2 linked regions of the Zea mays genome follow. Each later gene encodes a partner of the first gene's protein in a complex. Links are inferred from orthologs where the notes say so. Each region holds a gene or a part of one and is shown on either strand. Other genes may lie near its edges. The genes, in order: protein PLASTID TRANSCRIPTIONALLY ACTIVE 12, chloroplastic; Thioredoxin-like fold domain-containing protein MRL7 homolog, chloroplastic.

What was found.
Region 2: protein PLASTID TRANSCRIPTIONALLY ACTIVE 12, chloroplastic (region 1) and Thioredoxin-like fold domain-containing protein MRL7 homolog, chloroplastic share a complex: the UniProt entries of both Arabidopsis thaliana proteins name them as parts of the transcriptionally active chromosome (TAC) complex. The link is inferred for Zea mays from reciprocal best matches to the Arabidopsis thaliana genes PTAC12 and MRL7.

Annotation. Positions count from the first base shown.
Region 1 is NC_050098.1:198,689,960-198,694,685, forward strand, and holds the start of protein PLASTID TRANSCRIPTIONALLY ACTIVE 12, chloroplastic, read right to left. Parts: upstream 3,131-4,726; 5' UTR 2,939-3,130; coding exon 2,902-2,938; intron 2,807-2,901; coding exon 2,739-2,806; intron 2,644-2,738; coding exon 1,978-2,643; intron 1,392-1,977; coding exon 1,279-1,391; intron 919-1,278; coding exon 656-918; intron 117-655; coding exon 1-116. UniProt on the Arabidopsis thaliana protein: Involved in plastid gene expression. Acidic transcriptional coactivator necessary for the transactivation of many PIFs target genes (class B genes), particularly during the regulation of hypocotyl growth.
Region 2 is NC_050098.1:188,497,992-188,502,213, reverse strand, and holds the start of Thioredoxin-like fold domain-containing protein MRL7 homolog, chloroplastic, read left to right. Parts: upstream 1-1,422; 5' UTR 1,423-1,466; coding exon 1,467-2,152; intron 2,153-2,447; coding exon 2,448-2,532; intron 2,533-2,618; coding exon 2,619-2,730; intron 2,731-4,222. UniProt on the Arabidopsis thaliana protein: Plays an essential role in early steps of chloroplast development. Involved in the regulation of plastid gene expression. May positively regulate plastid-encoded RNA polymerase (PEP) activity through binding to FSD3 and CITRX/TRXZ.

The sequences.
Region 1 (4,726 bases):
CAGGTAAGGTACAACTTCAGGGGTAGGCTCATGAAATTCAGGACCTCTGTAGTCAATCACTTCATCAGGATCCTGAACATAATTAATTGTTGGATAGACAGGATCACCGCCCCAAACTACACATTAAAAAATAGATATTATGTCCTGATCAGGATATTCCCCAATACAATTAAAGTGTATGAAGTAAACCTTCCTATTCAAAAAATATGTTCTTCCAATTTGCAAGAGTAGAGTAACTTTAAGGTGGCATTCAATTATGAAGAAGACACTGATTTTGAACAACATTTTTACTAACTCAAGCCACCCAAATGGTCTGCTGTTATATATAAGAAACAGGAGCATATTAGTTCAAGAAATGCACACTCAAATCAGTGGATGGGATTATATAAATCACCCAGAAGGTTCTGCAACACAGACACGACTCCAAGGTGTATGAAAACAGTTTTTTTATATTTAGCTTCTAATAATATTATGTAATTGTTCCTAGTTATTTCCAGTCGACGTTGTACCAGACTAGAATAGAGCATCTCTGTGGAGGAATAGAACAAAGAAGCTAATGTAAGACGAATAACACATGATTATGCAGCAGCAACAAAAAAAATAGACTTTAAAGACAAGACATGCAAAAGAAGAAGATTTTTTAGCAAAGAAATACTCTGTTTGATCTGGTCTTCCCGCATTCTCATGGCCAAAGGATCTCGCTGAATACGCACATCGGTGCCCATCATGATACGATATTCCCCAGCAGTTTGGTGTTGAAACATTTTTATAAGTTGAACATTCTCATCTTCGCCAGTTTCCTCAAAGTGCTTCTGTATGGCCTCACGTGATGTATCCTTGTTTTTATAAGCTTCAACCCATTCTGAGTAGTACGCTATTGGCCCTATTTCTTCTAGTCTCCTTTGCTCTGCTTCTAACCTGTTTTTATATTGTATATTAAATGTAAGAGTATAAATGGGCAAGATAAACTTGTGTCAATTAAAAAAATTGATCCTCGACATCTTTCTGATGCAGTATTTAAGAATATATGATGAGACCGCCACATATTTGTAATATGTGGCATAACTTGGAGAAGGTGTAAATCCAAGAGCAGTTAAATAGGTTTACGAAAGATTATGTGATGAGACCATGCACGAGTGGTGGTACTACCAACTCAAATGATGTAAGGCAATTAGTAGAAACAATGTGTGCACAGATATTCAATAAAATCATTCGGTAAAGATGTACTGCAAAAATATATGGTATAATAATTCTAGTATTCTGTGGATGTAAGTCAACCTTTCCTCTTTGTACAAATGTCTTCTTGTCTTTGCAAGAGCAGCTTCTGTCCGTGAAGGATGGTCCCCAAAAATTTTAATTTGCCCAGTCTCCGCCATTGCCTTTGCAAAAACCTAAAATGATACAGCATACATTACAATTTATAATGTGGATCGCCGTCACGGAATATAAGTTAGTTGAAACACCAGTCAACGTAAAAAATAAAATCACAAAGCCTCAACCATATCAAGCGATATGAACAGACAAACCTGCACATCGATATACATGCACAGACGTCAACGCCATAACCCATAAGCACAAACCTCACCTTTACATCTGTGAGACTGACACTCTTCTCACGTTCACAGTACAAACAGAATAACTGGAGAACCATAAAATAATTGACACCATGGTCGCTAACACTTGACAGTAATTAGCAACACAAATACCATATACTTGGCTAGCTACTTTTGGACGGATAAAACAAACAAAATGACACTGGAAGATCACATGGAAATTGTTCCGTACGTGCAACATTTATACTATATGAACTATAAATGAGGCATAGAAATACTAGCGAGTACCATAGCAATACTCAAAATCATACATTTATGGCCTTTTGTTGCAGTACCTTTCAATGTCCGGAATTGGTGAACAGCCCCAATATAAGGAAACATCACTACCTACCACTTGCTAGGTTCAATCAAGTGAGGAACTAACCGTGTCAACATCTGGACGCCTCCTCTGCCATCTTGACCACATTTCCTCCTCCTGAGACTTCCTCCTCCAGTGCCACCAGAGCTCTTCACTGGTTTTCGGCTCCCCTAGTGACATTGCCTTTGCTGGATCAATGAACGGGTGTGGCCGCCCCATCATTTTGTCCATGTCATACTCACTCAGCTCCTCTTCCTCTGGTGTCTCATAAATGACATACTCATCCACCGAATCCTTTATCTCCTCCAATGCATCGTCCCCAGAGCCTATAATAGCCACATCAGGTTCATCACCATCCTTTCTGTCATCAGTCTGTGCACCCTCCGTTCCTGACGCCGACGTCACCTGCTCCTTATACCCTCTCCTCCTGCTCCCGGGCTTCGTGCCAAATGATGGCATCCCAGCTGACTCCCCAACCGGAGCAGGCGCTCGCGCGGCACGGACGCGGGCCGCCGTGCCCTCTGGCCAGTACTCCTTCCCGGGTATGCTTGCCCGAGCGCCCGACGCCGGCTCGAGCTGACCGGATGTGGAGTCGAAGTAGCTGGAGTACGGTGGCGGTTCTATCTTCGACGGGTCGAAATGGAGAGAGTCGTCCTTGACGCACTTGATCCTGGCACGCCGCGTGCCCAGGAACAGCAGACCCCTCCGGTGAGGCAAAGCACTGAACACTTTCTGTGCACGCACCGAACGACCTCCAGTCAGGCGCGTAAACCGAACTGGAACTAGGAACCAAAGTTATAAACTGTACGAGGCGTTTAGGCACTTACCGAGGACTTGCAGGTGCGAGAATGAGCCGGCGCCGTGACGGGCCCGGCAGGGACCGCCGTCGACATGCCTGAACAGTTTCAACAGAGTGGCTGTGATATCTGACGAGACGAACTGTGCGCAGGGAATAACGAACGATGAAATGGGGTCCAAGCTGGAGGTTACCTGGGAATAGGCGCCACGGGTTGTAGCAGGACGCCATGGTAGCGGCTCCCGCTATGGTGCTGCTTGCAGCGGTAGGGCGTAGGCGTCAGTCAATTCGTAGTGCGCGGGCGAGAGTGAGGTGCGAATCCGGCGGCGAGGTTTTGGATGGGACCTTCGGAGATTGCCGCGTTCAGGATAACGAGAAGGCTGAAGGAAGAAAGCGCTCACGTGGAAGGAGGTTGTCTTTCGACTTTAGAGAAGTGTAATAGCGGGCTATAAGACTGTCGCTTCACTCTACACATCTCCTACCCTATTACTGTTCATTCTATAGTGGCTACAGTACTCTCCTACCTCCCGCAGCGGCGAGCGCCACTCTCTCCCCTACCTCGCCGCACTCTTCTCTCTCATGCCAGATGCAGGGGATGACTATAACCGCCCCCTCGCCTCCTTCACGCGGACGGAGCCGGCCGCGCCAGACTACGGAAACTTCTCGGTCCACCTCGCTTCGCCTCGACCCCTCCGCGGAAGAGCGATTTAGCGCGGCGACGCGGCGGCGGATCTCCCGTCGGCCGGTGGAGTCGGCCCCGGCCCCCCTCGGTTGCACAGAAGAGGACCTCGACTTCGTGACCACGCAGTGCCGTTCGCGACCGAAGACGAAGAGGAGTCCAATCCGCTTCCGGCGAGGTACGTCGCGACCGATTCGTTGGCTTCCGTCTCCGACCATCGACGGCGCCATCAGATCCACACGGAGACGCTTCGATTCGGCGTGTTGCGGCCGAGATCTCCCCTTCTTAAGGTATTACCTTCTTCAACCTCGTCAAATCAATACTTATTTCACGATTGATTTAGAACAGCACTCGTATTTTGCTTCGATTCGCCGTCTTGCGGGCGAGATCCTCCCTTCTTGAGGTATACCATCTTGTACCCCGTCAAATGAATACTTCATTCAGGAAATATTTAGATCAGCACTGGTTTTGTTCAAAAATCCTAGTTTATTTTGGCCAGCCCATATGAGTTTAGCAGATCCACACTTGTAGTTTGAGCTGTGAACTTGTTACGTTGTTCATCCTCCGATTTAGCCCCCTGGTGGAACAAACTTTGTCTGTACCACGACATGGGAATACACACCAACACTAAGTAGTCGTGCGCATTCGGAACCACTTTGAACCCTTCTTTGGGCGTCATGTTTCTAGGAGATGCAGACGGCCCCTACAATTTATCAGTTCACCCGTACTTGCCAATGGAACCAAGGTTTTCAAACTCGTAGCCTAACATTAGCCATGACAGCAAATCTATTTCCCCAGTGATGTTCATTCCACTGAAGCAGATGTTTATTAAGTGAACAAATTGTATTTGTGGCGTTTCTGGGGAATGTTACCCTTTCGTAGCATTTTAGTCTTCACCCATATATGGCATTCCACTGACACCCTGATTATGTCATAATTCATTGTGCTTGCATGGAATACACGTATGTTCATGAGTTGTTCACTACAATTCATGACATGTTCATTTACTTTTGACTATGATTATCTGCCTGATCATGTGTCTGCCTGAACATGTGTTTGACCCACAAACTTATGTAATGTTCAAGACTTCAAAATGTGTATCTATCATGACAATAGTTGTATCATTTCTATCTGCATGTACTACTTTCCTTTCTAGTTCTGTGCCATACACTTCCCTTACGTTTAATTGTGTTTATAATGTTCATGCTTTATGTACAATAACATGTACCTGCCAACAAATATATAAGTGCTATTGACAAATTTATTGTTTTCATGTGTCTGTTTGGTTTATGAATCGAACTGTACATGTCATATGTCATCTTCACTTTACTTCCTCCCTA
Region 2 (4,222 bases), about 10 Mb from region 1:
TTCTACTTTATTTAAATATATAATAATGATTTTATTGTTTTATGATTTCTTATTTTATATATTTATTGTGGCCTGCTACCTTATATATTATTATTAATTTTATATAAATGTATGACTTACGTGAATTTTTGAAGTCAATTGAGGGTACAAGTTACAATTTTTACCGATCGAATTTTTAGATTTCGATCGTAACCGGTGTAATTTTTGTACCGAACTTTCGTTTTCGATGTTTTCGAATTACCGATATCGTTTTCGGTTCCGGAGTTACCGTTTTCGATCTCGTTTCCGAGGAAAAATATGAAAACGAAAATGGTTTTTGTGTTTACCGATCGTTTCCGACCGTTTTCACCCTTATTGTCGATGATCTGTTTTCTTTTGTGTTTTTTTTTCAATTAAAACCTCTTATGTTTCTCTCTAGCCAAATTCTCATTCTCACCACTACCCGTGCTAGTGTTCCTTGCTTGGCTGATGTTGTTCCTTAGGGGCATTTACAGTGGTAGATTTCATAATTAAGAAAGAAATGAGATATTTATTGAAACAATCTCTCATAGTGAAGAGTTTCATTCAGCACGGTTTCATAGTTAACATGTAAAAGACAATATGTCTAGGTAATAATGTATACATGGTTTCATCTCCATGAAAATCATTTCATCTCTTTGTTTATTAATTGCTTGCCACATCATCTAAACTGCTGACATGGCACACCATTAATAAGAACGAAGCCCCTATGAAACTGACCATAGAAAATGGCATTAGCATCTAAGGTGCACAAAATAGTCTTTATGTCGTCTTAGGTAGCCCACAATGAGGGGTGCAACTTTCTTCTGTTAGACTGTATCTTTCCAAACTCATTTTGACAGTAAGTGTACATTCAGTGAATATGTGATACATTATTTCAAGGTTTCAGAAGCACAACTGATGGAAATAGTTATTTGGATAGCTCCATAGTTAATTGGTGTACTTTGTTGTTTATAAAACCAAAAATTACAATGTTCGAGAGGGTTAAGTTCCAATAGAATTTTTTGGGTTCCATCCTTATTAGAATAGGTAGGTTTGACGTCACGACTCTTCTCGTTTATTAGAGTTTGGGACGGTTGAGCAATATATGCGTAGTTCTTCACATTCGTCTAAATTTATAATGTTTTCTAGACTAAACTAACTATTGAAATATGACACATACACAATTATCATTTACTGATGTTATAGAGATAAGTTTCTCTCTTCTTTTGGTTTGAGAGATCCAAAGGGATTAAGATACTCCATTTGCTCTAATTTTGGCAGTTCCTCACACTCGTCATGCTTTCACGAATCATTCACGAGGCTGGAAGCGTCAGTGCCGTTGGATTTGAGAAGATCACGAGACCAACGGGCAACGGCGGACGAGAAACCGCCATTCGGATAGCACGGGCGCACCTGCCGACCGGCGAAACCCAGCCGCATACTCGCGCCCATTCTCGCCGCGCACGATGCTCCGTCTCCCCACCCTCACCGCCCTTAAACCCTCAACCCCCGCCATCAGCTTGAACCGTGTCGGCTGCAGCCATGGCCGCCGCCGCCGCAAGCTCATCTTTGTCTCATCCGCTCCTCCGCCGTCTTCTTCGTCTTCACGGCCTCCGAAGCCGACGTCGAACCCGGAACCACCAAAGCCCACACATGAGGCCCGCAACCGGAACCCGGATGGATCCACCGAGGCAGGGTTCCCCACAACCAAGCCCCGGAAGCCACGCCGTGGGCGCCGCAGCGAGTCGGCGGCCGTGGAGGACTTCGTCCGCAACCGCCTTGAGCAGGTCTTTGCCTCCATCCAGGAGCGCAACCCCGACGTCCTCGAGGGCAAAGGCGACATCCTGAAGCCGAAGGCCGATGTGGAGCGATTACCAGACGACGAGGGAGAGGGAGAAGGAGGAGAACAGAAGCCCGTGGTGGAAGAGGAGGACCCGAGCTGGCCGCTGGATGCCGATGTCGGATGGGGGATCCGGGCCTCAGAGTACTTCGACAAGCACTCGATCAGAAATGTCACAGTGGACGGGGTGGAGATCGATTGGGAAGGGGACGTCGACGAGGGGTGGGTCAAGGAAATCAATTGCTTGGAGTGGGAGAGCTTCGCATTCCACCCCAGCCCCTTAGTCGTCCTAGTCTTCGAGCGGTACAACAGGTAAGGACCATCCATTCCCTGTCTAGTTTTGATTTGTAAACTGTTGGCATTATGTTTGGAATGGGCTGTGTGTAACCCAATCACCATTTTAAGCTTTGCATTGTGTAATGCGGATGTCCGTAAAGTGTGAATCAAACGAAACTAGAAACTTCAGAACTGTCCTGGTACTGACAGATAAACGGCAAAACAGGCTTCAGTTTCTGGAATTGCTTTGTTTAGGGTGAAGTTTATTAGTTTATTTACAGGAGGCTTTGATTGTGTAGTATTGAACCCTGCATGATGTTGTGATTTGCAGGGCTGCTGACAATTGGAAGTTTCTTCAAGAATTGGAAAAGGCTGCTAAGGTGTACTGGAATGCTAAAGATCGCTTACCTCCTCGGGTAAGTTTGAATAGCATCTTTTGATTATTTGGCTGGGTTACTGGTCTTTGTGCAGGTCCTAAGTTTTGTTTTGTTTTGTTTAATAGACAGTCAAAGTTGATATAAATATTGAGAGGGATTTGGCATATGCACTTCAAGCAAGAGAATGTCCACAATTATTGTTCCTTAGGGGAAACAAGATCTTATATAGAGAAAAAGGTATGTCAAACTAACACCCCAACCTAGCCACCCCTATATGGTTCAAATTGTCCTTGTGAGAATTCTATAAAAAAAATAGTGAGGGTTACCTTTTTTCTTGCGGGAAATTAATTGAGAAACAAAATAGGTAAGTAGAGGTGAGACCTACTTATCATTGTGACATTTGAGAGGAAGAGGAAACTCCCATTAGAAGATTGGAGAGAAAAGGGGATCTATTAGTTGAGCCTCTCCACAATAGAGCAAAGGACGTATTTCCAGCTCAATTTATACGCCCATGCGGCCCATAAGATGAGCTCCTGACAGGATTCCCGTTGGAGTTCATCCTCCATTTTTCTCAATCTGAAGGTTTTGTTTCCATGCTAAAACGTCCATACAGTCAGTGGCGGACCCAGGGTCCAGCGACCCTAGGCGCCTGGCCAGACTTTGGTGCCAGCGCACAATTAGCTATTCATCGCAGCACCTTAATCGGAAGCTTTGAATCATTTGATCTGAGTGATGTCTTAAGTCTCGTCCGGGCTCTATTTCAGTTCTGGGTCCGCTACTGCATCCAATTCTGTTCCAGCCCCAGCTCAATGCACCAGCGACAGCACCCTGCAGTTCTGATCACGGGAAATTCCATTTTACTAAGGGCTAGTTTGGAAACCCTATTTTCCCATGGTATTTTCATTTTCCCAAGGGAAATTAGTTCATTTTCCTTTGGGAAAATAGAAATCCCTTGGGAAAATGGTGTTTCCAAACTAGCCCTAAAGGATTCCTATTTTCCCAAGGGAAAATGAACTAATTTCTCTTGGAAAAATAGAAATCCCTTAGGAAAATGTGGTTCCCAAACTAGCCCTTAAACGGAAAAACAGTAGAGGAAATTCCTACTGCTGTAAGCACACACAAGCACACATTGTTATGTATACACTCAATAGTCGTGTGTCAGTAGTATTCAGTATTTCGTGGTACTGACGCGTACTACTGGTTGGTACTGGATGTGGTTCATTCGTATTCAGTATTTCATGGTCAGTTTTAGCTACTAGGTGTAGAATAGCATTGCCAGTTTTATCTGAGAGAGGGAGGGAGGCTGTTACACAATTGAAGAAAAGAAAAGCACAATTACAGGAATCATAGGGCTGAAGCAACTACAGCCTACAAAAAGAGAGGAAATTCAAGGACAAAAGGACAATTCTGAAGGCCCTTCAATCCTGTGTAACTGCAGTGAAACTTTGGGCGTGTTTGGTTCTGGCTTCTAGGCCCAGGCAGGTTAAAAAAACTCAGCCGGCAAGGAAAGACCACCTCACGGTATTATATTAAGAAGCTTAATCGAAGCACGATCGAGGAAAGTCACGAAAGCTAGCTCCCCATGCAGCATGAGGGTCCGCCCCCTATAGGCCAGATCTTTACTCGTGCTTTGAGCTCTCCCAACCCCTACATAAGGATCCCTCTATAGGCCAGTCCATCTTGTGTGCACACAACTAGGGGAACCAGCGAGTGACTTTTTTTAACCTCA